Linked DNA regions of Cricetulus griseus. The protein of the gene in region 1 binds, or shares a complex with, the protein of each later gene. Links are inferred from orthologs where the notes say so. Each region holds a gene or a part of one and is shown on either strand. Other genes may lie near its edges. The genes, in order: Smarca4, Smarcb1, zinc finger protein neuro-d4, Smarcd3, Smarcd2, Arid2 and Dpf3.

The links.
Region 2: Smarca4 (region 1) and Smarcb1 share a complex: the UniProt entries of both Homo sapiens proteins name them as parts of the BAF complex. The link is inferred for Cricetulus griseus from reciprocal best matches to the Homo sapiens genes SMARCA4 and SMARCB1.
Region 3: Smarca4 (region 1) and zinc finger protein neuro-d4 share a complex: the UniProt entries of both Homo sapiens proteins name them as parts of the neuron-specific chromatin remodeling complex. The link is inferred for Cricetulus griseus from reciprocal best matches to the Homo sapiens genes SMARCA4 and DPF1.
Region 4: Smarca4 (region 1) and Smarcd3 share a complex: the UniProt entries of both Homo sapiens proteins name them as parts of the BAF complex. The link is inferred for Cricetulus griseus from reciprocal best matches to the Homo sapiens genes SMARCA4 and SMARCD3.
Region 5: Smarca4 (region 1) and Smarcd2 share a complex: the UniProt entries of both Homo sapiens proteins name them as parts of the BAF complex. The link is inferred for Cricetulus griseus from reciprocal best matches to the Homo sapiens genes SMARCA4 and SMARCD2.
Region 6: Smarca4 (region 1) and Arid2 share a complex: the UniProt entries of both Homo sapiens proteins name them as parts of the SWI/SNF-B (PBAF) chromatin remodeling complex. The link is inferred for Cricetulus griseus from reciprocal best matches to the Homo sapiens genes SMARCA4 and ARID2.
Region 7: Smarca4 (region 1) and Dpf3 share a complex: the UniProt entries of both Homo sapiens proteins name them as parts of the BAF complex. The link is inferred for Cricetulus griseus from reciprocal best matches to the Homo sapiens genes SMARCA4 and DPF3.

The regions. Positions count from the first base shown.
Region 1 is NC_048597.1:134,494,216-134,498,346, reverse strand, and holds the start of Smarca4 (transcription activator BRG1), read right to left. Parts: upstream 2,801-4,131; 5' UTR 2,610-2,800; intron 1-2,609. UniProt on the Homo sapiens protein: ATPase involved in transcriptional activation and repression of select genes by chromatin remodeling (alteration of DNA-nucleosome topology).
Region 2 is NW_023276806.1:262,704,482-262,707,981, reverse strand, and holds part of Smarcb1 (SWI/SNF-related matrix-associated actin-dependent regulator of chromatin subfamily B member 1), read right to left. Parts: intron 2,799-3,500; coding exon 2,660-2,798; intron 1,027-2,659; coding exon 897-1,026; intron 1-896.
Region 3 is NC_048602.1:6,521,092-6,525,284, forward strand, and holds the start of zinc finger protein neuro-d4, read right to left. Parts: upstream 2,801-4,193; 5' UTR 2,703-2,800; coding exon 2,590-2,702; intron 2,291-2,589; exon of another isoform or gene 1,430-2,290; intron 1,203-1,429; coding exon 1,042-1,202; intron 941-1,041; coding exon 833-940; intron 1-832. UniProt on the Homo sapiens protein: May have an important role in developing neurons by participating in regulation of cell survival, possibly as a neurospecific transcription factor. Belongs to the neuron-specific chromatin remodeling complex (nBAF complex).
Region 4 is NC_048601.1:97,911,644-97,915,902, reverse strand, and holds the start of Smarcd3 (SWI/SNF-related matrix-associated actin-dependent regulator of chromatin subfamily D member 3), read right to left. Parts: upstream 2,801-4,259; 5' UTR 2,649-2,800; coding exon 2,571-2,648; intron 1-2,570. UniProt on the Homo sapiens protein: Involved in transcriptional activation and repression of select genes by chromatin remodeling (alteration of DNA-nucleosome topology).
Region 5 is NC_048600.1:119,219,188-119,223,263, forward strand, and holds the start of Smarcd2 (SWI/SNF-related matrix-associated actin-dependent regulator of chromatin subfamily D member 2), read right to left. Parts: upstream 2,801-4,076; coding exon 2,585-2,800; intron 1-2,584. UniProt on the Homo sapiens protein: Involved in transcriptional activation and repression of select genes by chromatin remodeling (alteration of DNA-nucleosome topology).
Region 6 is NC_048595.1:392,709,361-392,713,399, reverse strand, and holds the start of Arid2 (AT-rich interactive domain-containing protein 2), read right to left. Parts: upstream 2,801-4,039; 5' UTR 2,616-2,800; coding exon 2,524-2,615; intron 2,413-2,523; coding exon 2,319-2,412; intron 1,174-2,318; coding exon 1,076-1,173; intron 1-1,075. UniProt on the Homo sapiens protein: Involved in transcriptional activation and repression of select genes by chromatin remodeling (alteration of DNA-nucleosome topology). Required for the stability of the SWI/SNF chromatin remodeling complex SWI/SNF-B (PBAF).
Region 7 is NC_048598.1:120,235,777-120,239,707, reverse strand, and holds the start of Dpf3 (zinc finger protein DPF3), read right to left. Parts: upstream 2,801-3,931; 5' UTR 2,732-2,800; coding exon 2,700-2,731; intron 1-2,699. UniProt on the Homo sapiens protein: Belongs to the neuron-specific chromatin remodeling complex (nBAF complex).

The DNA.
Region 1 (4,131 bases):
AAAAACATTTTAAGTTCAAAAAAAGAAGTAACACTCTTCACCCACCACAAACAAACCACCAAACCAGGACCCCAGACTTCATCAGCGACTTTTTCATCACTTTTGAAGTAGTGACATTTGGGGCTAGGAAAGCAACGGCCTGAAAAGTTCAAAGCCCAACAGCAGCAACAAATGATTATTGCTTTGGATTTTGTTACCAATCACCTCACATCAAAGTTCATCCCTCCCAAGGGATGAACTCTCCTCTCCTCCCACTACTGTCTGCTTCCAACTTGCCATGTTATAGAAAAGACAGAGCAATAGTGGTGATGGCACTGATCCATCCTCAGCACATGGGTGTGTAGAGGGACACATCCTCCCTTATTTTGAAAAAAAGGTACCTTCTCCATGCACTCTCCCAGGACTTATGCCCACCACTGCTGCCTTGTACAACCATTTTGTCCTTCCACAGAGCAGGTTGTAAGGGTTAAATGGAAGGCCAAAGGATTGGGAATATAGCTCATGTTTAACATGCACAAAACCCAGGGCTCCAAGCCCAACAACACCCAAAACTAACAAAAAAGGAGAGAAAACAAACAAAAAACCCACATTCATAAAATAAGGCTTGCAAAAAAAACTGAAGACACATATTCATCAAACATAGATGGGAAGAAAGAAATGAAGGAAGGAAGGAAGGAAGGAAGGAAGGAAGGAAGGAAGGAAGGAAAATAATGCTAGCTGGGTTGGTGGCTCAGTGTATAACACTTGCCTAGCACGTACAGGGTCAAGTTTGAGCCCCAATACCACAAAAATCAAACACACTTAGAGGCTTAAGAGGAGAAATGGCTCAGCAAGTAAAAAAAGGCACCTGCTGGCCAAGTGGTGGTGCCACAAACCTTTAATCCCAGCACTTGGGAGGCAGAGACAGGTGGATCTCTGAGTTCAGGACCAGCCTGGTCTACAGAGTGAGTTCCAGGACAACCTCCAAAGCTACACAGAGAAACCCTGTCTCAGGAAAAGAAAGAAAGAGAGGGAGGGAAGAAGAAAGGGGAAGGAAGGAAGGAAGGAAGGAAGGAAGGAAGGAAGGAAGGAAGGAAGGAAAAAAGAAAGACACCTGCCCTAAAACTGTCGACCTGAGCTCAATTCCAGGAATCCACAAGGCGGGAGGGGAGAACAGACAAGTTGTCCTCTGACCTTCACACACTAATAAATAATGAAAACCTTTAATTAAAAAAAAATTCACAGGTGGTGGCACAGGCCTTTAATTCCAGCACTCGTCAGGCTCAGGCGGATGGATCTTTGTGAGTTCGAGGCCAGCTTGGTCTACTGAATGAGTTCCAGGACACCCAGAGCTGTTACACAGAGAAACCCCGCCTCGAAAAAGAAAAAAAAAAAAAAAAGTCAAAACAAAATAAGCCCCTTTAAATGAATTAATATACTTACAGGCCAAGGAGCCTTGCCAACATTTACAGTCCATTCCCCTACAAGACATGTGACACACAGTAGGGATTCAACTATCTGCTGGACCAGTCAACAACAGCCCAGGAAGCCTGGCTGAACACCTCTTATCCCAGCACTTGTGGGGTGGAGGCTGGAATATGAGGAATTCAAGGCGAGCCTGGGCTACATAAGCAGTTGGAAGTCAACCTTGGTTATGGGATCCTGTCTCCAAAATCACAATAATGATGATGATGATGCCCAGTGTCTCCCAGCCCTATCTATGAAATTCGTAGTTCCCTTGTACAAAGGAGGAAACCAAGGCGTTCGGAAAGATTAAGCGACTTTGCCTAAGGCCACACAGCTAGCTGACAGCCTGAAGTGGGCATCAAACTCAAATCCATCTGTCAATTCGAACTAAACTTGTTTCCAATTCCCAAGAAGCACCTGGAGTCCCTGGAAATGGGGAGGGAACCAAACCGATGCCTCCGATGTTTTACAATAAAAAGCCCTATCTGGGAAACTGGGAAGGGCCAAGGGACTCGAGAGAAAAAAACAATGCCGCTGTGAGCAAAGGTTCCCTGCCATCTTTCACTTTTTAGGTAAACGTTTCAAAGTCACTACCTGCAAGGAATGTAAGGAATTCTTACTTTTCCTTCAAGATGAGCAGTAATAAAATTTATCAACAACAACAAAAAGAGTGACGCCTTGATACCGAAGAGGGGGGATGACTGCGTCCAAGTCACACTGGACATCAATACTGGAGGTAAAATATTGTTCCCGCCGCCCGACCACAGGGCATTAGGGTCGCACCCAGAAAGGCCCACGACACCCAGCTATTGTTCAAAGTTGGGATCACAGAAATTAAAGTGTGTGTGGGGGGGAATACGGATCTCTGGAACGCCGAAGGGAGGGAGCTTTGTCCCGAGATCTCACGAGAACGCGCGCGCGGCCTCCACGAGGCCCATGGCCACCCGCCTCGGCGGCCACGGAGCCTGCAAGCGGCCGCGGTCTCGCTGCACTGCGGTCTGAGCCGCGCGCAGGGCTTTCTTGACCCTCGGGCGCCGCCGTACCCCGACCCCGCTCGGGTCGCCGGGCTGTCCCCCTCCCCCTCCCGGCGCCTCGGCTTCATTCAAACCGTCTTCCCCAAGCCCCGGGCGCCTCGTCTCCACCCGGGAGTCTCCGTTCCTTACCCGGAGGTACCGGCACCGTAGCTTCCCTGGCGCCGCCCCCAACCCTCCACGAGGGGTCGGGGACAGAGTGGGCGTCTCGCTTCTCCTCAGGAAACAAAGAAGCCGTCGCCGCCGCTGCCAAGCGAGGGGAATGCCTTGCGCGCGCGCCCGCCCGCTCAGCCTCGGCAGGGCGCCCCCCCCACACTCACACTCACGCAGCACGCGCGCCCGCCACGCGCGCGCCCGCCCGCCCGCCTCCCTCCCTCCCGACCCAGTCCACGACTCCCGCTTCCGCTGCCTGCCCGGCCTCGTGCACGCGCCAGCCCGCCCTTCCGCTCTCCGTACGCATGCGCAGGGGCTCGCTGTGCGCACGCGCACCGGCCCTTTGAGGTAGCGAGGAGGTGGGCGGGCCCAGAGGCGGCATGAGGCCCTGAAGCACCGCCCCTGTGGAGCGCTGGGCGTCTCCGCGATTGCGCACACCTGAGTCCCAGGCACGCAACTGGGCCTCAACCCGCGGAGCATGCGCAGACGGGCAGGCACTGCGGCGACGCTTCGAGGTTGGGGGAAGGGACTCTCTGTGGTCCTGAGGGGAGAGAGTAACGATGAAAGCGAAGCCCTTAGGCTCGGAAATGAGCACCCAGGATGGAAAGTAGAGCCTAGGAACCGTCACACACCGCCCCAGGACGGGACAGAGCGCGCGCGGGGCCAGGGGCAGGCCTGGGAAAGTCTTTGATCCTGGCGCTGGCGCGGCCCTGCCTGCTCTGCAGGGCTCTGCCCTGGCCACATTTCCTGCAGAACTTGCTGAGGCCCATTAAGTAGCTTTCCAAATATTTACTGAGTTGCCATCGGCTCCTCGCGGCCCTCTGGTTCAGCATCTGTGGAGAGCAGGATGAATAAAGTGAAACGCGCCGGGTGTGAGGTACAGACAGCCACAGTCAAAATTTTCTTTAAAGTTTTTAAGAACGCCATTAGCCTAGAAATGAGGGAACGAGGGTCTCTATCCTGGTGCAAGTGTAGACATTCCAAGCCTCTGGTTGAGTTTGAAAAATATTGGTGGTTGTCAGTCATGATAGCCCACACCTTTAATCCCAGCACTCGGGAGGCAGAGGCAGGAGGATCTCTGTGAGTTCAAGATCCGTAGTTCCAGCCTGGTCTACAAGAGCTAGTTCCAGGACAGCCGCCAAAGCCACAGAGAAACCCTGTCTCTAAAAATAATAATAATAAACATTTATTTGGTGCTGGAGATAAGGCTCAGAGGTTAAGAGCACTGACTGATCTTCCAGAGGTCTTAAATTCAATTCCCACCAACAACATGGTGGCTCGCAACCATCTATTATGGGATCTGGTGCCCTTTTCTGACCTCCGGGCATACATGCAGGCAGAATACTGTATACATAATTAATAAATAAAATCTTTTTTTAAAAAAAAGATTTATTTCAGAATGGGGCTTGGTGGCATTTGCCCTTCATCTCAGCAGGCCAATCTGTGAGATTGTGGTCAACTTTTTCCACAATGTTTCAAGCCAGCCAGGGTTACATAATGA
Region 2 (3,500 bases), on another chromosome or scaffold:
TTCTACAAAGCTGTCCCCTGACCTCCACACGCATGGCATGTCACACACGTGCAATCTCTCCAGCCTACAATAATACAACTTTTAAAAGTTATTTTTAAAAGACAACTCCAGCGGCAGAGGCAGGCAGACATCTGAGCTCGAGGCCAGGAAGGTCTACAGAGTGAGCTCCAGGACAGCCAGGGCTACATAGAGAAACCCTGTCTTGACTGGGTGGTGATGATGCACACCTTCAATCCTAGCACCAGTGAGTTCAAGGCCAGCCTGCTCTACAGAGTGAGTTCTAGGACAGCCAGGGCCACAGAAAAACCCTGATCAAAAAAAAAAAAAAAAAAAAAAGAAAAGAAAACCAAAAACACCTGTTTGGACCTGAGGAGGAGATGGTTCAGTTGGTAGAGCGCTGCTCGTGTGCACAAAGTCCTGGGTACCATCCCCAGCACTATTATAATTAGGCATGATGGCACACACTTGTAATCAAAGCATCGAGGAGGTAGAGGCAGGAGGATTCTAACTTTAACACCATACTTAGCTACACCGCAAATTTTAAGACCAGCCTGGGCCACATGAGAACTGTCTCAAAAAAGAAAGAAGGAAAAGGTTTTTTCAAAGTTCTACCTGTGTGTATTCAAATCTATTGTTTCTTTTGGAAGTTTATCTGAGTCACAATTTTTTTTGGGGGGGGGCAAATGAGTCCCAGATTCAGAACATTCCAGAACTCAAGACTTGGCCTATGTTTGTTAAGAATGTCAAAGATACAGAAGAAACTTAGAAACCAAGGTCAGGCAATTATAAACATAGTGAGTGAGCAACTTTCACTTTACCCTGTTCTTCAGGATGAGACCCCCACACACACATACCCCCACATGTCTCTGGAGCAAACTGAGATTAGGAAGGCATACCTGAGGTAGGTGGGGGGCTCTGTGCTGATGGACACAGCCTTGTATTTCTCATCGTTGCCATCCAGAATCTCTTCTACCTCCGAGGCTTTCAGTAGCGTCACGCTGGTGGCGAGGGTGGTGTACCCATGATCTGTAAGCAGAGAAACCCCACTGTGGTCATCCTGCAGCAGTGTGAACAAGCTGACAACCAACTTGATACAGCACACGAGGTCCTCACATGCAGGAGGTGGGGAAAGCAAGGTGTCAAACTCAGTACTGCTGAGTGCTAGCCTCTTCCAAAAGGGCAATCCGGACTGAGGCTTTACCTAGACATCTCAGTGGAGAAAGCCTCTGGTGGGATGGATTTGGACGAATTTGCCTCTTAAGAGCACTAGCTCTGGGGCAGACATGTTTGGGGGTAGCTGCAGCTTAGGGGCTGCCAGGAAGGCTTCAGAGTAACACCCCAGTGGGAAGAGGTCTGACACCACCACAATCTAAAACACAAAGCAAGATGGGAGACAGAATGAAAGATGAATCCTCTTCTTTTAAAACAAGAGCCCAGAGAGTTGGAAAGAACTATTTCACACCAAGCAAAAGTTACCATCCCTGAGTCAGGCCAGATGTGGTTGTCTGGAAAACAAGACAGAACTTCACACCACGTGATATGCCTCCCCCCCCCTCCCCGCCCAGTTCTAGGGAACCTCTGTCAAGCGCTGCTACTTATCTGCAGGACCTGCTTAGCTTTGCTGGAGGACTCACTTGGTTATAGGAAAGGAAGGCACATGGTAGCAAGACCACTAAGGCTTCATGGGAACTCAAGGAAGGGCAGGCAAAGCTAGGTAGCCACCATGCTAGTGACTATATTCCACTTTTGGCAGAGGGGACACAAAGGAAACTGTTTCAGGCAATAGTGGATTCTTTCAGAAGTGGATAAAAAGCAGCTCTGGCTCCTGCATTAAAAGAACCCCAATACACCACAACAGACAACTACATTAGCACATTAGCACCTACTGACAAGACAGACTACAGAGTGCTCATGAGCACGCATGCATGCACGGACACATGCACCCAGGCCCAGGGCAGCTCTCTACAGGGTGCCTCTGCTGAGTGGAAAGCAGTTTTGCCACCGGCCAAATGGCATGTTGCGCCCATACCCAAATGTTCTTCCTAGAGGCCCCAAAATGTATGAAGAGCATCTTCACTCTGCACAGAGTTGCCACAGCCCAGACCTTGCACTAGTTTCACTAGCACCAGGTGGCTCACCTAGCAAGCCCCAGGCACAGGGCAGGCCACGTGGAATGGGTACATGCACATGAGCTTAGCATACTGGTTGCCAAGATGAAGTATTATGAGATAAATGTGCTCTGGGAGGGAAGCGGTGAAAGCCCCAGAAGAAAGTGAGGGCTGGGGCCACCGTCTGCTACTAGGGCTGCAAGAAGGACGACTACGGCAACACACTCACAGCAAATGGTAGCAAATCACAGCATTCCTAAAACGTTTTGAGACCAACATGTCTTCACAGCACCTGCTACTACCCTGGCCCTGGCCCTGGCCCCTCACATACCCACTGGCCCAGCCAGGAACACACAACAGTGGAGCACCAAAGACTCGCTGAGCTACTCTCAACTGAACCATGTGTGCGCTGGCAGGGTGGCCTGCCCCTGGGATGCTCCCTACCGAACTAAGGTCAGGCTGCAATGAAGACACTGGAGTGAAAACGTTTTATCTTCATGACATAAGCGAGTGGTTTTGAAACAGGTTTACAAACCCTCGTGAAGACGCACCCTTAGTGTTAGGTTTTGTTTTTTTACCATGTGACGATGCAACTATTTTCTTCCTCTCTTCCACAGTGGCTAGTCGCCTCCAGAGTGAGGGATATCTCTTGTACAGAGAACCTCGGAACATACGGAGGTAGTTTCCCACCTATGAGTAAAGCAAGAAGGCTCATTATGAGGGTCAGACCATCGATCACTATGCCGAAGGGCTCTGGCAGAGAGGATTTGCTGGATCAAGTACATGAGATACAAGGCCTCCAGACGCCAGCCTGTCAGCAGCCATAAAACACATTTTGCTGACATCAAGGGTTCAACAGCAGTGCACATCTGGCTGGAATCTGTGTATCCTGACATCAGAACCAAGTTCCAAAAGATCTGACCAGATGTCTATTGGGGAGGATCCCAGACCTCAGTAAGGAGCTTGTGATGTCGATCAGGACGAAAGATTTCTTGGCACTTTTCTGAAATCTGAGACTCCTGTGACCTCCTTTCATCTTAAGAAGCAGACTTTGATATTTTTACAAGGCAATAAACACCAAAATGTCTTTAATTTTAGACAGATGCAAGATAATTTGTCCCGCTGCCTGTGTTGCTTTATTTAGTAACAAAACTCAAACCAGAGACACCAAAAGAATTTTCTCAAGTCTAAAAAGCCCTATATTAGTAATCCCTGGACTATCTTAGAAATCACTACTTCCCCCGAGTAATAGCTTAGTTTGCTTGTAGCAACACTTAAGGACACCCTTCATGAAAAGCTAGTCCTATGATTTTTATAAAGATCCATGGCCTCACTGACTTCAGAAATGATGTCTGCAGTGTCACACAGTGGGGACAACCAGGGGACACGGTG
Region 3 (4,193 bases), on another chromosome or scaffold:
GAAAGCACTAACTCCAGTCAGTCTATGAACTAGCACACACCTCAAGAAGCACCTAACACAGAAACAAGCCGAAAATCTCCATAGCAATTTCTCAGCATCAGGACCCCAGCAGGACATTCTGGTGGAACCATATATACCCCCAGAAGAGGTAGATATACACAGTCCCAGCACACACACACACACACACACACACACACACACACACACACACTTGGAAACACCTAGAAAGAAACAGGCATTCTAAAACACTCAGCAACAGTTACAATGAGACACTCAACTCAGTGGTTCTCAACTTTCCCAACGCTGTGACCCTTTAATACAGTTCCTCATGTTGTAATGACCCCCCAACCACAAAATTATTTCGTGGCTACTTCATAACTTTAATTTTGCTACCCTTATGAATCGTAATGTAAATGCCTGGTATACAGGATACCGGATACGCAACCCCAAAACACAGGTTGAGAAACACTACTAAGTCATCCAAACACACAGGGAGATAGCCAGATGCCCTCCAGCACCCACAGAAAGAAACACAGCGGGACATGGGCGTACCCCGGCTCACAGGGGAGCGCACACAGTTATCTATCTAGACACAGATAAAAGGATGTCCTCCGTACACCTGCTCGCCACGGCCCACACAGCAGGTACATCTGGAAGCTCAGAAACTCAAAGGAAGTAACTCAAGACACGGGGAGGGGGGGGACGACGACGACACAGATAGCCTGTTGTGGAGACACCCAGGGGAAATAAAGGCTACATTCTGGCTGACAGCAGTGGGGCTGAGGACTTCGATGGGGGCCACAGCGGGCGCAGGGGCCACAGCTCCACCCACCGATCTTGTACTCGCAGGGCCGCAGCCTGGGGTCCTCCAGGATGTTGAGTCTCCGTTTCTTCCTCCAACAGCGGGCGGGGTAAGTGTAGATCTGTCCTGGGGCCAGACCTGGAGGAGAGGGAGGGATGGAGGGAGAGGGAGGGAGGGCGGCAGTGAGCGTGCGGCCCCGGGACGCAGGCCCCGCCCCGCCCCAGCCTCGCGGCGGGTACCAGGCCCGCGGTGGGTCTTCTCCATCCAGATGTAGCAGTTGTTCTGGGCCACGCCGGTCTGCGAGTCGAGAAAGGGCAGGCGCAGGCTGCGCTCGGCGCACAGGCGCGCGTTGTAGCTGCGGCAGTGCTCGATGGCCTCCCGGTAGAAGTCCTCGCCGAGGCTGAGGGGGGCGGGCGAGCAGCGGGCGAGCGGCTGTCAGCCAGGGAGGTCCAGCACCCTCCACCACCACCCCCCCCCCCACGCCCCGGGCCTCCCGTTCCCGCCGCCGCCGGTCCGCAAAGGGCGAACCAGCCAGGGCCCCCTCCCCCTCCTCCTCCTCCCATCCCTGGGGACCCGGGGGCGGGGCGGGGTGCTGGCTGGCTGGCTGGCTGGCTGGGAGGCCGCTACCTGGAACTTGATTATGTCTCAGGTTAAGTAAGAAGTGTGTTCACAGAGCGAAACGCAGCAGCAGCAGCAGCAGCAGCAGCGGGACCCATGCACACACGAACGTAGCCAAACACCCAAAACAAACAAATCGCACATGGCCACACGGGATTCACACACAAAGGGAAACATATCCCAAAATTCACAAAGGAGAAGCAAACACATTCACACACACACAGACACACAGACACACAGACTGGGGTCAGAAACAGGCCATAAAACTACCTCTGCACGCCACGCATCCAGAGACCCCCAAGATAAACACATTGTCCACAAAGCCCCCCGGCGTGGCAACGTACTACGCGCAAACGTCGCAACAGTCGCACGGTGTCCAAAGCGGCTTGCCCACACACCTCTCTCCAAAGACACGGGGTGTCAAACACACGATACAAAGAGACCACGCAGTCACACGCGCGCACGCTCACACCCGGGGGGAAACGCGACCCCAAACTCGAAGCGCATTCCCAAGCACAGGTACACGCCTCGGAGACGGAGGGACAGCCAGGTCCGCCCGTGCTCGCACCCAGCCTCACACCTCCCCGTGCAAAGACGCAGCCTCGAGGGTGCAGCCTCAGCAGACGCGCGCGCACACACTCGGAGGGGACCCGAATGCCCAGATGGGCACCGTGCAGAATAAAAGAGACAACCATACGCACATACCCACACATCCGGCCAGAAAACAAAACAAAAAAGCAACGCACAAGTCGCACAACACACTCCACGCCCCAAGACAAAGGTAGCGTGGGCTCGACTCGCGTGTACTCAGGTTCCCTACGCCGCTTCCCCCTCTTGCAGACCGTGGCATCCCCGGGAGGGGACATGACCCCCGTCCCCTGGAAGCCCTGGGGGACCCCTCCCCCACGCCCTGCACCCGCCCCGGACATCACCCTTGCCAGACACCCGCAGTCACACACGCTCGCACCCCCGCTCGCTCGCTCGCACACGGTGACAGCCCCCTGACACCCCACCGGCCCCACCCCCAGCGGCCACACACACACACACACACACACACACACACACACACACACACACACACACAGAGACACGCACACGCGCGCGCGCGCGGCCGCGCAGACCCGCCCCCGCCTCCCACTCGCCCCGCTCGCCCGCTCGCCCGCCCGCACCACCTCAGGGGGCCGGGGATGACCGTGGCCATCTTGCTCCCCGGGTCCTGCCCCCAGCAGGTCCCTGCCGGGTCGGTCCTCCCAGCGGTCGGGCGGGCGCTGAGGCCGCCCATCCATTCATTCCCGGGGGGCGGGAGCACGCGGATCTCAGCCAATCAGGACGGCGGGGCGGGGCGCCCGGGCCATGCCGGGAGTGGTAGTCCCCCCGCGGGTCCTCTAACCCGGGGCACCGGGGGATGGAGGATCACGCAGTCCCCGGTCCCACGTGCACAGACGCATGCACGCACACACGCGCACGTGGCCGCTTACACACAGCCACGCTCGGCTCGCAGGCTCTCACACACCCCACCTTCACTCACGCCCCGCCACAGGCGCCCAGACCTCGCCAGTGCCCACCCAGCCGTGTCACCAGCATGCCGGAGTTGACGCCACCTCTCCCACCATGCCCTCCAAACTCTGGAGCACCCATCGTGTCCCAGGGCTGACTGTCGCGGTCGGTCACCCGGGTCCACTCCTCCGCAGGACTACAGGACTGTCGTCATCCTTCCCGGGCTCAGATCCTCGCTGATAGGACCTCGGGCACATGACTTAACCTTTCTGGGCCTGTCTCCTCCTTTAGAAAATAGTTATAACACCTCATCGGACTGAAGAGTAGATGAGTGACAGGGTAAGTGGCTGCTTTCGTGACAGAATCCTACTGTCCAGCTCAAGCTGGCCTCAAACTATAGTTCTCCTGCCTCTGCCTCCCTGAGGTGTGTGAAACCACACCAGTCGCTGTAAAGTGTTTTCAAAGATACATAGCAGGGCTTGGGGGTGGTTCTGGTAAAAGAAAGTGATCGAGAGCCCATGGGTTCAATCGCAGTCCCACATGAAGAAATAGTACCTGGCAAGTACTAATAAATCCATTTATTCCACAGAGAAGACATCTACAAAGAGGATCTGACACGTACCAAGGCATAAAGTGGTTACGCCGCTCTAGAAAGAATAATGCCTGCCCGCCCTAGTAGGTGTCCAACAAATATACGTTGAGTGGTTACTTAACATTTGCTTAACACAGCTCTCCCCAGACTAAACTATTACTGTCCTTATTTTCCAGACGAGGACTTTGAGATCTGGAGGAGAAACCTTACCTGTTCTCTGCCCCTGACTGCTGTCTGAAGGTAGCACTGAAAGACGAAAGATTCATTCACCTGGTCCCTTCCACTCTTCTCCCTCGGCATCCACACACCCTATCCTCCTAACAGAACCCCAGCGAAGAGCTGACCTACCGAGTCTCTCTCTCTCCCTCTCTCTCTCTCTCTCTCTCTCTCTCTCTCTCTCTCTCTCTCTCTCTCTCTCTCACACACACACACACACACACACACACACACACACCCTCTGGGGAATAACTTAGCACTCTGATTTGAGTGGCTGCATAAATTAGCATATCAAGTGTTAATACAAATACCCCGTTGTCCAGCAGGGGGTGTTCCACCCACCGGGCTAAGACTCAAGATTTCCTGAACTACACACACCCCCAATCTTAACTCCCTGCCACAAATGTCCCCAAGTCATTCAAGACCTTGACCCACCCCTTCCCCAGCGTAGGTAGGGCATCTGATTCA
Region 4 (4,259 bases), on another chromosome or scaffold:
TGGGAGTGATTGTGGGAGGGGCGGGGGCGCGGGAATCTGCGTGGCTCTGGAGGAGGGGGCTCGCCGGCTCCTTGCAGGAAGCTAACTGAAGCCAGGCAATTGCCCAGGGCATAGCCGAGCCTCGGAGCCGTGCAAGGTACCGCAAAAATGAATATTAATGGCGCCTTTCAACCTTTCAAAGGATGTTCACATCGGCAGGCACGGTCTTCTGCAAGCCAGCCAGAGCCGGTCTTTTTTATCCCCAATTGACAGATGGGGCAACTGGGGCTCAAAGAGAAAAAGCGACCTCGCCAAGGTCACCCCGTTCATCCCGACAAAGGCAGCACCTTGACGGGCCTTGCTCCCCGCTGCTTTCCTGCTTTCTACAGCCCACTTCTGGGGCTTTGTATGTGAGCCCCCATCTCCCTTTCAGCACCCCTGGTTTGGACCCTTGGTGTTCAAATAACCCCTTCAGCTGACTCCAGGTCTCTGACTTAGTCTGCCTCCTTAATTTCATTTCTCCCAAGGTGATACAAGAGGCTGGGCAAAGGCACCCGAGGGTCTGAGCTTTTCCGAGTGGCAAGTGGGGAACTGGACTAGAAGTGGGCTGCCAGAGGGCAGGGATGGTTGAAGGAAGCCACATCTCCCTCCCATCTGCCTACATCAGAGAGAGAACCCAGTACCCACCCCATCCTAGTAAGGGTACAAATTGGAGGGAAATGAGGCAGGTTGTATTTCCCCAGCCACCACCTCTGGGCAGTCAATCAAAACAGAAGAGGTGTAAACGCAAGCGGGGTGTTCCAGAGTCCACTTGTCCAGGCCTGGAAAGGGAGTTGAGGTTTAGGGGCTAACCAGGAACAAGGAGGTGATGTGGGGGTGCAGACCCTACTATTTACACACCCTCATCTCAGGCTAGGGATGTAGCTTGGTGTAGTGCTTGCCCAATACATGTGAAGCCCAGGGTTCGATTCCCAGCACCAAAGAAACTGCACTTGTAATCCCAATCTCAAGGTGGGGACAGAAAGAGCAAGACCATCTTCCCTTATATAGTGAGTTCGAGGCCTAGGCTACAGGAGACCCTGCCTCAATACACAATAAACAAATACAAAATACTCCTCATCTCACCCCAGAACCAAGAAACCCCGACTGCTCAGACCAAAGGTCTCCACCCTCTACCACCCTCTACCAGCAGCTGTCCCTGGCCATCTCTTCTGTAGTGTAACCGGCCAGTTCCTGAGTTTGCCTCCCCCATTCCACCTGACTCTGTCACTCATACCACCAGTGCCACCAGGGTGGAAGGCCAGGCCTAGTCATTCCCCACTACTAATAAGGGGGCCTTGATCACTCAAGGACTGACCCTCCAAGTTGGCCATATTCAAATCCACATGGGCAGCCTCCTCTTCACTGAATGGGACTCTGTAAAGCAACTCCCCCAGGCAGCTAGGTTAGGACTGGTAACTCCACTAACCCACAGGACTGCCTTGGGAACTGCACCCCAGAGATCCCTGTGGCTAGAGGGCAGGCTGCCACAGGGAAGCCCTCCTCCCTATCAGCTGCCCTGCTACTCATCAAGGCCACCCACACTGTCTGGTTTACTGAGAGGAAGGGGCTTCCAGGGGCTCTGCCACCAGCACCACAATCACAAGAGGTCAAGGTTTTGGGGGCCCTTGCCTCTTTCACTGAGGAGGTGCTTCTTGGAGTCACAACCAAATTTGGCCATAGTAAATTTGACTGATTTTTCCCTCTATCACATATCCCCAAGCCTGGAGCGCCTTACAGCCAGGCTCTCCACTGACTCAACCCAGTCATCTCCCTCCTCAGGTCCCTGGAACCCTCAGGTCCCTCGTGTGCCTTCACATGTCTGTGGCAGGACACTATAGTGTTAACCCTTTGATCTCTAGGCCTCATGTCCCCAACTCCATCCCTTCACACCTTTGAGGTATTAAGGTCATCAACTTCTGGTGGCTGAGCCTGCCAAGGGATCCCCTGACCCCTTTAACTTGGGGTCCATCTCTTAAGTAGGCCTCTCTTAGCTCTGACAGCAGGGCCAAGTCCTCAGGACCCTCCTGCTAGGCTGCAGAGGTTGCTCAGCCAGGGAGCTTTTGCTCTCAGGTGCCTCCAGGGTCACCTGCTCCTAGTTCCTCAGACCCAGTCAGAGTGACACTGCCCCTGTGGATGAACAGGACAACAGGCAGCCCAACCCTAGTTGTGTGTTCCAGTCGCCACCCCACCCCCACCCCAGGGCAGGGGTAACACCTGGGCCCACCAGTAAAAAAGAACGGGCGACGTGTCAGCTACAGAGGGGACCCACCTCTTGGGGGGCACGGTGCCCACATCCCACCCCTTGCCCCTGACAAGAGCCCAAGCCGACGCCTCTCTTCCCTGCCGCCGCGCGCCCATCCCCAGCCGACCGCTTGGCGACGTGTTCGGATGCCAGGGCGCCGGCAAGGTCCCAGGGTTGGGCCGTGACCGTGCGCCCCCCAACCAAAGGGGTGGGAGAGCGGGAGCGCGCCGGCGGCCCTTCCCGATCATCCCTCCATTCAGCCCGAGCCAGCTCGCTCGCCCTCCCCCGCTAACTTTCCCCCACTCACCACCCCATGGACCAGAAACTCAAAAAGTTTGCTTTTCGTGGCTTTGCGCGCCCCTCCGGCAACTTCGTCCGCGGCCATCGGGGTGGGCTCAGCGGCTCCTCTCACTCTCTCTCTCTTCCTCTTTCTTTCCCTTTTCTGCCTTTTTTTCCTCCAACTCTCCCCTCTGAGTCCTGCTGGGCTCTCTCACACTTCTACTCGAGCGGAGTGGGGAGGGGGCCCCTTCAGGGCTGCCCTGACGGCCCACGGCCCAAGCCGCCGCCGCCCGCCCGCCGCCGCCGCCCGCCGCCGCCGCCGCGGCTGCCGCATTCCTGCACTGATAAGACAGAAATAGTCCGGCGGCCCGGGGTCTGCCTGCGACGCGCGGGGACACAGCAGCCCTCCCGTGCACCCGCGTGGTCCAAACGGCGCAGAGACGCGGCGAGCCAGGCCGGTCCGCCCAGCGGCTGCGAGGCGGGCAGCGAGCGCCCAGGCCGCCGGAGGCTCGCCGGTGGCGGCACGGGGAGGGACAGTCTAGGGAGGGGACGGGGGGGGGCTTGCCCGCCACCCTGCCTTCTTTCTCCACAAACAGTTTCTCGGTTGGGGAATTCGCCGGCAGGGCCAGGCAGAGAACGGGCAGTTCCAACTTTCTTCCCCCAAGTGGCTCCTGCAGCATTTCTGAGGCCCTTTCCCCAGGGACCGGGCAGGCCAAGTAGGGAAACATTTGCTGGAAGGAATCCGGGGGCGGGGGGGCGGGCGAGCCGGGAGCGGGCCTTGCAGCCGTCCAGGGCCGGCCGCCGTGGGTGTGCCCGTGCCTCGCGCTCCGCGTGTCTGCACCCTTTTGTGGCTCGGCGCAGCGGCCGAGGGTGTGGATGTTTATGTGCGGGCACCGGTGTGCTCCCTCCACGGGAGCCGCCGTGCCTGCGCGTGCGAGCGTGCGAGCGTGCGTGCGCGCGGGGCAGGACACGGCCTGTGCCTTCCAGCTCGGAGGGAGGCTATTTCTGGGCTCGTGAGTCTTTGTTTGCCTCTGTGTGGGAAAGTGAGGGCAACCGGGGAAAGTCTTTCCGAAAAGGGGACATGGACTGGGCTCCTGAGCACAGGAAGAGTGAGTGTGGGGAATCGTGCCGAGCCGGGATGCGTACTTGGGTGGGTAAGGAGGAAAGAGTGAGCAAACAAGGTTTGGTGGCTCTGGCATGGAGACCCAGGGGGGCTGGGGGGCTGAGGTCCGCTCCAGGACCGAAGAGAAAGCAGGAGTGTGGAGTGGGAGAGGATGAGGGAGCCCCGGAAAGGACCGTAGGGAGAGAACTGGCCGACCCCCGAGTGGAGGGAGAACAGAAAGGAGATCCCTAGGCTGAGCTCAGGCCCCGCCCATGCCAGAAGCCACGCCTGTTCCCACCTTCTGGAGGAGGAGCCCGCAGGCTTTGGGACAACTAAGGGTCACACTTATGGGCTTCCTGGGACGGCAGCTGTCAGAACTAGGATGAGGGAGGGACAAGGCCTGAGGGAATTTGTGGGAACACATTAAAATTTGAGCCCTCAGGACCCAGCATTGCACGGAGGGGGCCTAACCTTTGGCCCTGCAGAATGTCTTCATTGGCCAGGACAAGCAACAGAGGGAATGTTCTCCCAGGAGTCTTTTGGGCCAGCACCTTAGTTTCCTGCAGGTCCTGCTAGTGTGCCTAGCTGTCATTGCCCTTTCAGGCGCCCACTGTC
Region 5 (4,076 bases), on another chromosome or scaffold:
GACTTGATTCTGTAACCACCAAGGAGACAATGGAGAAGGCTAGGCCTGACTCTGCCATCTCTGGGTAGGAATCTAGGGCTCAAGTAAGCATGTTCTGCTCTGACCTAAAGCCTGTAGCTCTGGTCCTCAGATGGCTGCCTGGGCCTAAGAGCCTCATTTGGAGAACATACCCTGACCCTATGAACAGAAAGTATTCTAAACTCTGAGCTGAGTGAACTCAGCAATAATGCACAGTAGGTCTCTTTGTTTTGTTTTTAATTATGGTGTTAAGCCCTTCAGCTGACTGTACTCCAAGACTAGATAGAATAACCCTCTAGAGGTAGGTAGCTGGGCCATTACTTTTGTTTCAACAAGCTCCCCAATATGCCCAGCTTGAGCATGCAAATCCTCGCTCACCCCCAAGGGCTCTAACCAGGAGGAGCCCCTTTGTCTTCAGACCCCAAGCCCTTTTGAAGTTAGGTACCTGGACATGAAAAGAAGCAAGCAGTTTCTCCTTCAAAGTCAACCAGTGTTAACTGGATTCTCTTTACCCCACCTTTTCCTCTGCCCTTCCCCAGAGAAAGAAGAGGAGGGGAAGAAATGAGAAAGAAGAAGGTGGTGATGTCAACCTGGTTGGTATGGGATGTCCAGACTTAAGGCCATCTTCTTTCTCACACCTAGTAGCCACAGGTATTCAGCTGGCCAGCTTGGCCTCAACATAGACCCCAAGGCGCTACTCTTTACAAAATATGGAGGAATCCATCTTCCTATCCTCACAGGGGCTTTCCCAAGAGCAGATTTTCTATCAGCTGCATGCCAAAGAAACTGGTCTACATAGTGAGTTGGGGCAGCCAGGACTACACAGAAAGTCAGACAAAAAAAAAAAAAGCAAAGAGACAGATCTCCTCAGTGCCTATAGGAAGCTTCCAGATCAGTTCCAAGCAAACAGGGCCAAAGGCTACTAAAATCACTGACATCAGTGATACACTAGGCCCATGAATCTCCAAAGAAAGCAACATGGGAAAGATAAACCCCAACTAGTATCCTTGGGACCAAGTCTATCTCTGTTCATAGCCAAATTCTTCATTTTCTTTTGAGAGAGGAGAAATGAAGAGTTGGGGGGGGTCACTATCCCCACCCCCACTCCCAGTTAGGTACCTCCTTAGAAATCTGATTCCTGGTAGAATATGCACTCCATGAGGATCTATTTCTGAGGCCTCTACTCTACCTACAGACACCAGCAGAGGACAGAGCAAACTATAGTGCACACCTTCAGACATTAGTAACAAGGAAGCTGTGGCTCACAGGCTGAGATACCTATGGTCTTGTCAAGAACCCGGAGAACAAGTAAAAGCAAAGAGGTTGGGTGTGGTGGTGCATGGCTGTAATCCCAGCACGTGAGAGGCAGGAGGAGTTCAAGGCCAGCTTTTTTGGCTACACAGCCAGCCTGGGCTACATGAGACCCTGTATCAAAAAAAAAAAAAAAAAAAAAGGGGCAAGGATACTGGGAAAGGATGAACACAATCCCCAGGCACTCTGGGAAATGGGGTGCAGCTCTCTGATATAGCAATTGTCTGCCATGTGCAAAGCCTTGCCTGGGTTCCATGCTCAGCACCAAACTGCATTAAGTAAAACATAAAATCCTCAAAACATCCTGGAGCAACTTGCACCAGAGCATTGGGGAAGGAGCCCCACATGCCGGGTCAGGCTGAGTTCACAATGCACTGACCACAGAGTCGCACCCCCGTTCCTCAACGGGCCTTTGAAGCTGCAACCTGAGACTGACTGCTCTTTTTCCAGCTAGAAGGCTCAGGGCAGTGCCCTCTGAAGCAGCCGATGCTGCTGCAGACTCCTGCAGCCCCCGCCTAGCAGTATTCCACAAAGCCTCTCTGCTCCTCCAAACGTAACTACTGGACGCTGGCACTAAATGGAAAGCCCATGCTAGACCGTATCTGGACTAGTCTGTTACTGGGACTGGGCCTTCTTCAGACCTGGCCGCCGCTGCCACTAATCTAACCTGGAGCCATCTGGGCCCCCTCTCCTTAGTCCCCCCCATGGCGTAGGAAGCCAGGCTTCCTTCCCCCTCAACTAGCAGCTGGGAGCCATCTCAGACACTAACGCTCTGCCAGTTCCCAACTAGGGAAAAAAAAAAAGCCAAGGCAGAGTTGCAGTGGGACCGAGGCCAACGAAAGGATAACCCTGTTTTCTCTTCCAAAATTTTCTCACGTCTCGGGTCACCCCCGGACCCCGACTCCGGGACCTGCTTTAGACTCTTTCAACCCGATTGCACACAATTCTCCAGATCCCACGGAGCCTACATCTCTCAGTTACTCAGAAGCCGTGAGCCGCGGAGCCCCGGGACTCTTGTAACTGCTCGAGCGCTCCACCGGAGAGCCGCGCTCACCCTTTCCCCGACCCTGCCTGCCCCTCTCTCTCTAGCCGAGGGACCCCGGCCTGGCGCGCCACCAGCTCGCGGCAGTTCCTCCTGCAGCGTCCCCGGAGCCGCCCGTCCAGGGACGACTCCTGCCCGCCCTCACCTGCGGCCCCGGGGAGACCCAGCAGGCGCCCTCGCGGCGGCGCCCGCCCGCCCGCCCGCCCGCCTCACCTGGTACTGCGCCGCGGGGCCCGCGGGGCCCATGGGGCGGAAGGCGGCGGCCGCCGGGACCCCCATGCCTCCAGAAGGCCCCGGGCCTCTGAGCGCCGGGTTGGGCAGCATGCCGGGTCCCGCAGGCGGAGGAGGTGCACCCAGTGCCGCGGCAACGGCGCCGCCGCCGGGGCTTAGCGGGGGCAACGGGAACCCGCCCGCGCCACGGCCCGACATCGCTCTGTCCCGTCCCGCGGTGCAGCGATCCGGCCTCCGGGCTCTGTGTGGAGTCCGCTCCGCGAGCTGCGTTCCGCGATCCGGGACTTCGCGATTTTACTGCCGGGTTCCGGGGTTTTCTATTCCAAGTTCGCAAGTTCTTCACAGACCGACCCGCTTTAGGACCCGCGGCCCCACTGACTCCGCTCCTGCCGGGGAGACTCCAGATCCGGGATGTGCCGCAAGCCCGCCGGCCTCTCCCGGCCCCCGGAGGTTTCGCCGCCCGAGTCCAGTTACCCAGAGGCGGTTACGCGCTCCCGGCCCCGCCCAACCCGGGCCTGCGCCCGGCCCCGCCCCTTCCCAGCAGCCCAATCGAGACTATCTCTTCAAATCCCGCCCCTCGCGAGACCCGCCTCAAGCAGGCACCGCCCATAACTGACGGCCACAGAGCCCCGCCCTTTGGGACCGCCTCTTCCCGGAGGAGCCGGAGCGGAAGCTGCACGCGGAAGCGCTGGGAAAGGCGCGGGGTCAGAGCTCAAAGGTCACCGTCCTAGGTCCTCCGCGGTTAGGTGCTGGCCGCTCGCTCCTCAAGTGCGGCTCCCTCCGCGAGGTGCCGGGGGGGGGCACGCCTCCAAAACTGTCCTTCCGGGTCAGCCCTAAAGCCAGGCGACGGCCGCCGCTCACCCAGAGCCCTCGCCGGCGCCCGAGGGTGGGAGCCGGTGGGATAGGGCGCTGTCTGCCGTCGCCAGCACCCCGCCCCACACACACCCCAAGAAACCGCCAGGGACATGCGTGACTCCAGACGTGACCCCGCTGGGTAAAAGTTTGACTTGGCCCGGTGCGGAGGTTTTGTTTTGTTTGTTTTCCGAGACAAGCGTCTTGAGTGACAGCCCAGGCTGTGCAACTCCCCTTGTAGACCAGACTGGCTGTGACGCGCCGCAGTCTCCCTGCCCCTGCCTACCAAATGCCGAATCACAGGCGCGCACCGCCACCGTCGGCCCACAGAAAGTGAGTTTAGGTGAAGGAGTTTTGCATGCCGAGAAAACTCCAGGCAGTGAAGCAAGTTTTCTCCAGTTCATAGAGGACTTAGTTTTGAAGAGTTCCTGGCCTTTCCAGAAACCACTGGTTTCGGCTACGGAATGGACCGCCTACCCTCAGCTAATGTGGGATCTCCTCCCCACAGTACAGAATCGGTGCTGCTTAACTTTAATGAGCACTGAAAAATCCTCAGATTTGGGTTGGGGGATGTAGCTCAGGTTTAGAGTGCACTTGCCAAGCATGCATTAAGCCCTGGACT
Region 6 (4,039 bases), on another chromosome or scaffold:
GATCTGTGAACTCTTCAGCGTCAAGTCTGAAGTCAATCTAAGGCAGCCAATAGGAAGTACACCTGTGCAATTACCCTGTTTCCTATGTCAGAATCCTGAGCGCTATACAGAGTAACTAGTGCATTTGGAGCAATACAAGACTCAAATTATACAGAAGCTACATTTTACAAAAATGAAATAAAGGCTATCTTATGATATCACCATTACCAATACTTATTAGAAGGAACTATTGAGATCATTATTTTAATTTTAAATTACTAAGAACACTGGGTAATCAAATACAAATACCGACTCCAAAACAAAGTACAATATGAAAGGATCTATAAAAGGAAATCTAGGAGGAAAAAAAAATCCTAAAAGTCACAAAATACATTATCTAGACTAAAGCATATACCAACTCAGTAAGAAGTTTACTTTTTTGAGTAAGCAGTCAAAATGCAAGGGAAAATGGAAGAAAATCCCAACCATAGTACCTGGCTTCACACCACCCCCATTTTCCTAAAGATGCTGAATATTTTCAAATTTCTCAGAAATTCAGTAACAAGAGTCCAAAAAAGTAACCCTGGTCAACCAATGTATCTACATTGTATTATTTATGTAAAAATATTCCATTGAAAACGCACTGAATAACAGTTCCAATACTTTTCCTTTAAAAAAAGAAATTCCGAAAACCAGAATTGTAGAGGGTTAAGGAGTTTCCAAAGAAGAAAAAGAAGAAAGACAAATCTTCCCACAGGTTACAAAGTTTCATTAAGTATCTTAAGACTTTTACTAAGCATCATCTTTTCTGGCCCTCAGTGACTATCAAGCAGTCAATAACAATGTCACAAAAGAATGTTTACAAGACAGGACATGGGTTGTCACCTGTAATGACTTTGTATGGAAAATGTAAATGGCCGTGTTTTAAGGTGAGGAAAACTTCAGCCTCCTATCATCTCCCTTTTTTGACAGTCAATGCTTCTCAGACTGAAATTACCAAGGGGTTGGAAATTGTTTAGAGCATAAATTTTGTTGTTGTTTAATCGCCCTTAAGTCCCTCATTTCCAAATACTGTGGAAAAGTCACCACTACTCACCGCAAGTAATACTGTTTTAAAGCAAAGGCAGCGTTAGAACAACTTCTGGGAAAGTTGAACTCTTCAACAATTTCTCCCCACTGATTCTTCTCAGAAACCTGTTAAAAACACAGGCACACTTGTCTGAAAGTGCCCAATCCAAGAAAAACCTACCCTAACTTGGGAGCTAAATTCCCATTCTGCAGAGATCTGCAGATACCTAAGGTATCAGTGGGTGTCTGGGGTCTGTCCACAAGAGTTACTAAGCCAGGGCCGCCTGAATCACTAGGTTTTCATCAGAGAGACCTGCATTTAGCAGCACTTGTTTTGTTTGGGGGGGAGAGGATTGGTGGGTTTGTTTTGTTTTTGAAGCCCGGACAATAACCAATCGCAAGTCCCTCTGTCGCCCCCTTTTAAATCTCAACGCGGTCCGTTTACACTAAAGAAGAAGAAAAAAAAAGTTCAAAAGGATCAATACTGCTCCGGACAGCGACGTCCGCGAGCTCTGGGGGGGCCGGGGCCGGGGCCCGACTCCGATCCCTCTCCCAGATCTCTCCATCTCCATAGGCCCTTCTTTGAGGCCTACAGCTTCTGCCTAGCCTTGAAGCCTAAGATGGCTATTTGCAGACAGGTCCTGCTTTCTTTTGTTAGCTGTGGAAAGCCAGGGCGAGCGGGCCGAGCCTGTGCCCCCGGCCGCCGGGATCATTTCGCAGCCGATTATCGATGTTAAACCTGCCCGCGCTAATTTTGAGTTGCACGAAAACTGCTCAGAGTCTGTGTGTCTCTGTGTCTCCGCCTGTGCTAGAGCGGCAGCGGCGGCGGCGGCGGCGGCGCGGCGGCGGCGCTGACTCGCAGGCGGCGAGCGAGCGGGCAAGCGGGCGCGGGCGGGCGCGGGGTTCGGCGGGCGGGCACCCTGCTCGCCCGCGCTCCCCCGCCGCGCCGCTCAGACCCCGCGGGGGCCGGCCGGACACCGGGCCGGGGGCGCTTTCCCGGCCGCCGGGCCGCCGGGCCGCCCGCCCAGCCCGCCCAGCCCCGCGCCCCGCCGCGCGCACGCGAGCGAGCGAGCGAGCCACCAGGCCGAAAAACAGCCCCTGCCGCCGCCGGGCCGCCTCCGTGCCACCGCCGGCTGCGAGCGCCGAGAACGCCGTGTGCCCCGCCGGTCGCCCCCCCCCTCCCCGGCCCCCGGGGCGCCCGCTCCCGGGCCGGAGCAGACTTTTCGGAGCAGGCCAGCGAGAGGGAAATACAAATTAAAACTTCCACTCACCTTCGCGAATCCGCCTAAAGTAGTGACTCTGGTGTAGAGCCCGTGAAGATCCAGCTCCTTCCCACCCACCGCAGGGATCTTCTTAAACGGCGACCTGCGGGCGACAGAAAGCCCCGCACTTGTCACCGGGACCCCCCGCGCCCGCCGCGGGGCCCCGTTCGCCCCGGCTCGCCCCGGCGCTCGCCCCCCCGGGTCCTGCTCTCACCCTCTGCTGTGGTGGAACTGCCGCAGCTCGTCCAGGAAAGCCAGTCCCTTCCTCCGCTCGTCCGGAGGCGCCTTCCCCGTCGAGTTTGCCATTATTTTGCCAAAAGGAAGGGCTTCCGAAAAGCCAGATCGCGCTTCAGACGCGGCCCCCGCTCCCCGCGCTCCCTACCAGCGCCCGGAGCCCATTCCTCGGCCGCCGGTGGCGGGGCTCAGTCATGGGCCGGCGGTGGCGGCGGCGGCGCGGCGGCGGCGGCGGCGGCGGCGGCGCAGGGAGGGAGGAGGAGGGGGAGGAGGCGAGAGGAGGGAAGGAGGGAGCGGGAGGCCAGGGGGAGCGCAGGGCCGGAGGGAGGGGAATTTCTAAAAAAGTTTAAAGAAACGGGAGCGAAACTAGAGGGGCAAGGCGACGGGCGCCGGCCGGGCGCGGAGCCGCGGGGCGAGCGCCCCCCCTGCCTCGCCGCCCCCGCGGCCCGGCTCTGGCCGCCTCTCAGCGCCGCCGGCCCTGGCGGCTCGGCCCGGGACGCGATTCAACATGGTGCTGCGGCCGGGGGGCGCACGAGGCGCCGGGGCCGGGCGAGCGGAGGCGAGGGGCCCGGGTGGCCGCAGGCCTGGGAGTTTCGGCGGCGGCGGCGGCGCGCGGCGGCGGGCGGCGGCAGCGCGGGGGCCGGGGCAGGCGGGGCCGCGTGGGAGGGGGAGGTCTGTGTGGTGGCTTGTGGAGAGCGGGGTGACAGCGTGGATCCGGCGCGCGGCTCCGCGGGGCCTCGCACACATTCACGCGCGCGGCGGCGGAGACGGCGGTGGCCACGGCGGCCCGGCGTCCCCCGGCACAGGCTCCGGCGGCAGCCGAGCCGCTGCGCGCCGCCGCGCCGGCCTGCCTGCCTGGCCGCCAGTCTCGCTCTCAGCCGCCGCCGCCACGGCCGGGCCGCTCGCACGACAGCGCCGCACAGCGCCCCCCGAGGGCCGGCCGCGGCACTGCGCCTGGCTCCACACGGTCGCGGCTGCTCCTCGCGGGGAACAATAGACTCCGGCTCGCCCGGCTTAGGGTTCATCTGCAATGTGCAGCACATTTCACACGCACACAAAGCGGGCGGAAAGGGGGGCGGGGGCGGCGCGGGGAAACGGCCACTACCGGTTCTTCCAGGGTGAGGGGTGGAGGCGATGTGCGCGTCCCCGGCGGCCGGGGCTGTGGCAGAGCGGCCTCCGTGTCCCCCCGCCGGGCCTCCCGCCGCACCGAGGGCCAGCGGCTCGCCCCGGCGCAGCCCTCGCCTCCCGGGGAAAGTCCTCTCGCAGCCTCTGCAAATGTTTAGGGCGGGAGGGATCGGCCTCTCGGCTTTATGCTACCAGACTGGGGCCCGAGGAGCACATTTTCCACGGTGTGACCAAAAAACTCATTTTGACAAACTGTGGAGCACACACGGTGTGAATTGTCTGCCCTACTTTTGTGGAGATGAGAGTAAGGCTCTGAATTCGTCTCGCCCCTCGGTCGGTTTCGTGCACCGAACCGGAGTTGATGCCAACAG
Region 7 (3,931 bases), on another chromosome or scaffold:
CAAGAGGAAATCTTTGTGTGACCAGTTTCTGTAGGGGGCGTCCGTGGTGTTGCCTTTTTAAGACGAGAGAGACTGCACGCACACGGAGAAAATGCTAATGCGGTTTGGAGCTCCGGTTCATTGTCAGGAGGGGCACACAAGGATAAACACATAAGCTCTCCAAACCATTCTCATTGCTCCTCCTCCCTGCGCCCCCATCCATCCCTTCGGCTTGCTGTGTCGCTGCGCTTTGTTCTAATTTAGCCCATGCATAATTTATTCACGTGTGTTTTGTTTCCTGAACAGCAACTTCTAAAAACAAATGAAATATACAAGATGTTTTATTAAACAAGTTTTTAAAAATAATAATAATAATAATAGAAGCAGATGACGTCGGTCTCCCAGTAACGACGCGTGTGCTCCTGCGTGCGGAGTTTTTAAAATATCCAGGCTGCAAAACCCTTGGCCGTTGGGGTTATTGTTTACACCCTTAGCCCTAGGGGTTGGGGGAGAGGATGGGATGCAAAAGGGGGCGGATAATTACAAAGTGACGGCTTGACTCCTTCCTAGGAAAGGCAGGCAGTGGTGATGTGTGTGAGCTCCCGTGTACGTGTGTGTGCCAAGACGGAGTTACAAATGCATCCCACGGTGTTTCCAATTATTAAGGAGTACACGTGTAATTCAGAACTAATTTCACTACCGAGATTGGCCACCTTCTTGCTGCTCTGTCCCTTCCCCCATTACCCCTACACTCGCAGGCTTCTATGTCAAAAAAAAAAAAAAAAAAAAAGTGAAACGATCTGGGGAACCCTGGAGCGTGGAGCTCCTGCGCGCGCCCGAGCGTAAGCCCGCTCCCGGGCATCAAGGAGACCGCTTTCCCAATAAGGAACCCCATACACATAGTAAATAGAACTCTCAGACTTCAGTTTACCAAGCAGCATCAGCTCGACTACGTGATTTCGGCTGGAAATGAGGAAATTGCAAATCAGCTGTGTGGGTTCTGGAGAAACTCCTGGCATCAGCGGTGTGGCGGCGCGAGTCGGCGAGGACGCGGCGAAGTTACGCCCATTTATTCTGCCATAAAACATTTTCTCTCTTAGGTGAAATGCTGTCGCGAGTGCAAAGTAGCTGAGCTTCCGAGCGAGAACTGGAGCCAGGAACTCGCATCAGGCTCAGCCTCCAGTGTCTTCTTTACCGCATTATCTCGTGGAAACTCCGAGATCTGGGACATCCCTGCCCTATTCCTGGTTGCTAGCTGGTGCAAACGCAGCGGGTTCTCCCTAGGCGTTTCTTGGCACTAGGAATCCCCCCCGCACTGCCTTGCTGCTCTCCAAAGCGAACCGTGTTTTTGACTCCACGGGTTAGGACGCTGTAGCAGGCAGTTAAAAGAGCCAGGGTCGACCACCGCCACAAATTGGGAAGAATTGGCACGAAACACCCACGCGCACCCTCCTACTCCCAGAGGCTTTCACCGGGCGGGGAAGTCCTAGTACAACCGGCACCGACCGGAGCCCACACCGCGCAGCAATTCCCAGGGATCCACCCTCTGCCAACATCCCTGCCAATAGCGCCCCTTGAGAGCCACACTAGTTTTCCGAGGCCACCCGCGGCTCCACGATCGCTCGCGGACTTGGCGGCTTCACATTCACAGTTCACCGACTGGAGGGAAGGGAAGGAAGAAAGGGAAGGAAGGGAAGGAAGGAAGGGAAGGGAGGAAGGAGGGAGGAAGGAAGGAAGGAAGGAAGGAAGGAAGGAAGGAAGGAAGGAAGGAAGGCAGGCAGGCAGGCAGGCAGCTCCGACCGGGGACCGGCCCCCGCGAATCCTCGCGCAGCCCGCCCCCCTCTGTCCGCTCAAAGTCTCCCGGAGGCACCTGCCCCTCGTTGTCGCCAGAGCCCCGAACCGCCTCCGCCTACCTCGGCTTTTCACCCAAAGCAGGCAAACACACCATTCATAAGACCTGCAGCTTCCCTGCCTCCACATCAACCCCCAAGTTAATCCAGGTCGTTAATTTACTACCGCCAGTTCGCCCACAAATACGCAGACACACCGGTGACCGCCCGGAGCGCCTCCCTGATCCCCCGGCTGCTCGAGTGGAAAAGCCCGGGGCTAGCACCTGGGCCCCAGGACTCCCGAGACCCGCCGCTCCGCGCGCTGTCCTCCCAACTCCGGAAGGTTTGCACAAACTCCCTGCGAGAGCTCGGAAGGCAGAGCGAACGCCCAGCAAACTCCGCAGCTGCAGCGGTTGATCAGCCCGCCCGGGCGGACCGACGAGCCGCGGAGCTGGGAAGCCTCGGGCTTGAAGCTCAGGGCTCAGCGGAGCGCACGACGCGGCCCCTGCCCCGCGCTCCGACCGGGCTCGGCCAGCCCCGCGAGGTGCCGGGAGAGGCAGAGGACTCCGGGGACCGTGCAGCCCGAGCTGCTCTAGACCCCCGCAGCTCCGGAGCCGCCGCCGCCGCTCCGGGCTCCCTCCCGGTCCGGGTCAGTCAATTAAGCAGAACACAGATGTAACAATTTTCTTTTTGTTAATTGCATCTCCTGACATTTCTGCGCGCTGGGAGGAAAAAAAAAAAAAAAAGATGAAGAAGTAAGAGCAGAAGAAAAGAGGAGCCCGGGCGCAGCGGGAGGCGTCTGCAAGAGCCGGGCGCCGGCTGCGCTCCGCAAGGCGCCTTTTTTTCATATTGAAACCACGCGGAATATGTACATTTTTTAGTCTTACTTACGCTTTCAGGGGGTTGTGAATGACAGTCGCCATTTTGCTACAATGTAACAGAATATTGTCTGTCTCAGAGTTCTAAAGGTTCGCTCAGGGGAAGCGGCAGGCCAATCAGAGCACGGGATACCGGCCTGCAGGCCAATCGCCGCGGCTGGTCGCCAGGTAGGCGGGGCCTACGTGGTGGTAGTTATTAGGGGAGCTGTCAAAGCCCAGAGGTCACTCCCTTTTGTAGAGCCCGAGAGCGAGCAGGTCTTAAAGGGGCAGTACAGTGTTAGTAGCGCCCTTGCTGATTGGGGCTAGTGGACACACATGGGAGAGAATTCTCTCTTAGTTTGAGCCCCTACTTTACTAAATAACTGCAGAGAGTTTGCGCTCCTGAGCAGGAATATTTACATAGGGCCATCAAAACCATTAAATCCCATTCATTAGCTTTGGACTTCATATATCACCGTCTTTACCTCCCCACCCCACCCCCGCTCCGGGTACACCTCCCGTATTTCAGTGCAAAAGTTGGAAGGCTGCAATTCCCTGCAAGAAATTGCTACTCGTGTTTCACCGATTGTTAATAATGCTGTAGGTTCTGAGGCTGTTGAATATTCTTGTCCCCGAAGTGTTTTCTTTATCTCAGCCACCTTCCCCTGTCGGTTTCTGGGAACTGGCTAGTCCAGGACAGCAACTCCCTTCCCCCTGGAATGTCTCAGCGTCAGGCTCGCCCTCTGCTGCTGCTACGGTTTTTTGTTACGTAATTCAGGGGTGGTCACTCTGCGCTGTCCCCTACGACCACACCGTTCTCCGCTGTCAGCGATTCACAATGATCTGACACGGGCCAGCTGGAGAGCAAAGGGAGACCTGGCGCTCTTTTGGCAAAAGGATAGGGAAGATTTGAGGCAACTTTAGCAAACGCAGCTAAGGAAGCAAAATTGTTAGAGCCTGAGGTGGGTGTTGCTGGAGTTCCCTCGGGGAACGGCGCTGCGGATACCGGCGTCACCTTTCTGGACTAATATAGGACGCAAAAAGAATTCTCAAGCCAATGTTGCGACGTGACTCGAGGCTTCCCGAGTCTGTTGCTGCTCAGAATCTGGCGAACACTTGAAGAAACTGAGAGACTTCTGCGAACTCAGGCTTCCACGGAGAACAGGGAGGGAGGCTCAGAGTGAGCGAAAGCACTTAGAGGCGTCGTTAGCATGTAGAAGCCTGGCTACCGACCCATAGCTGTTTAATACGGCCAAATGGATGGCG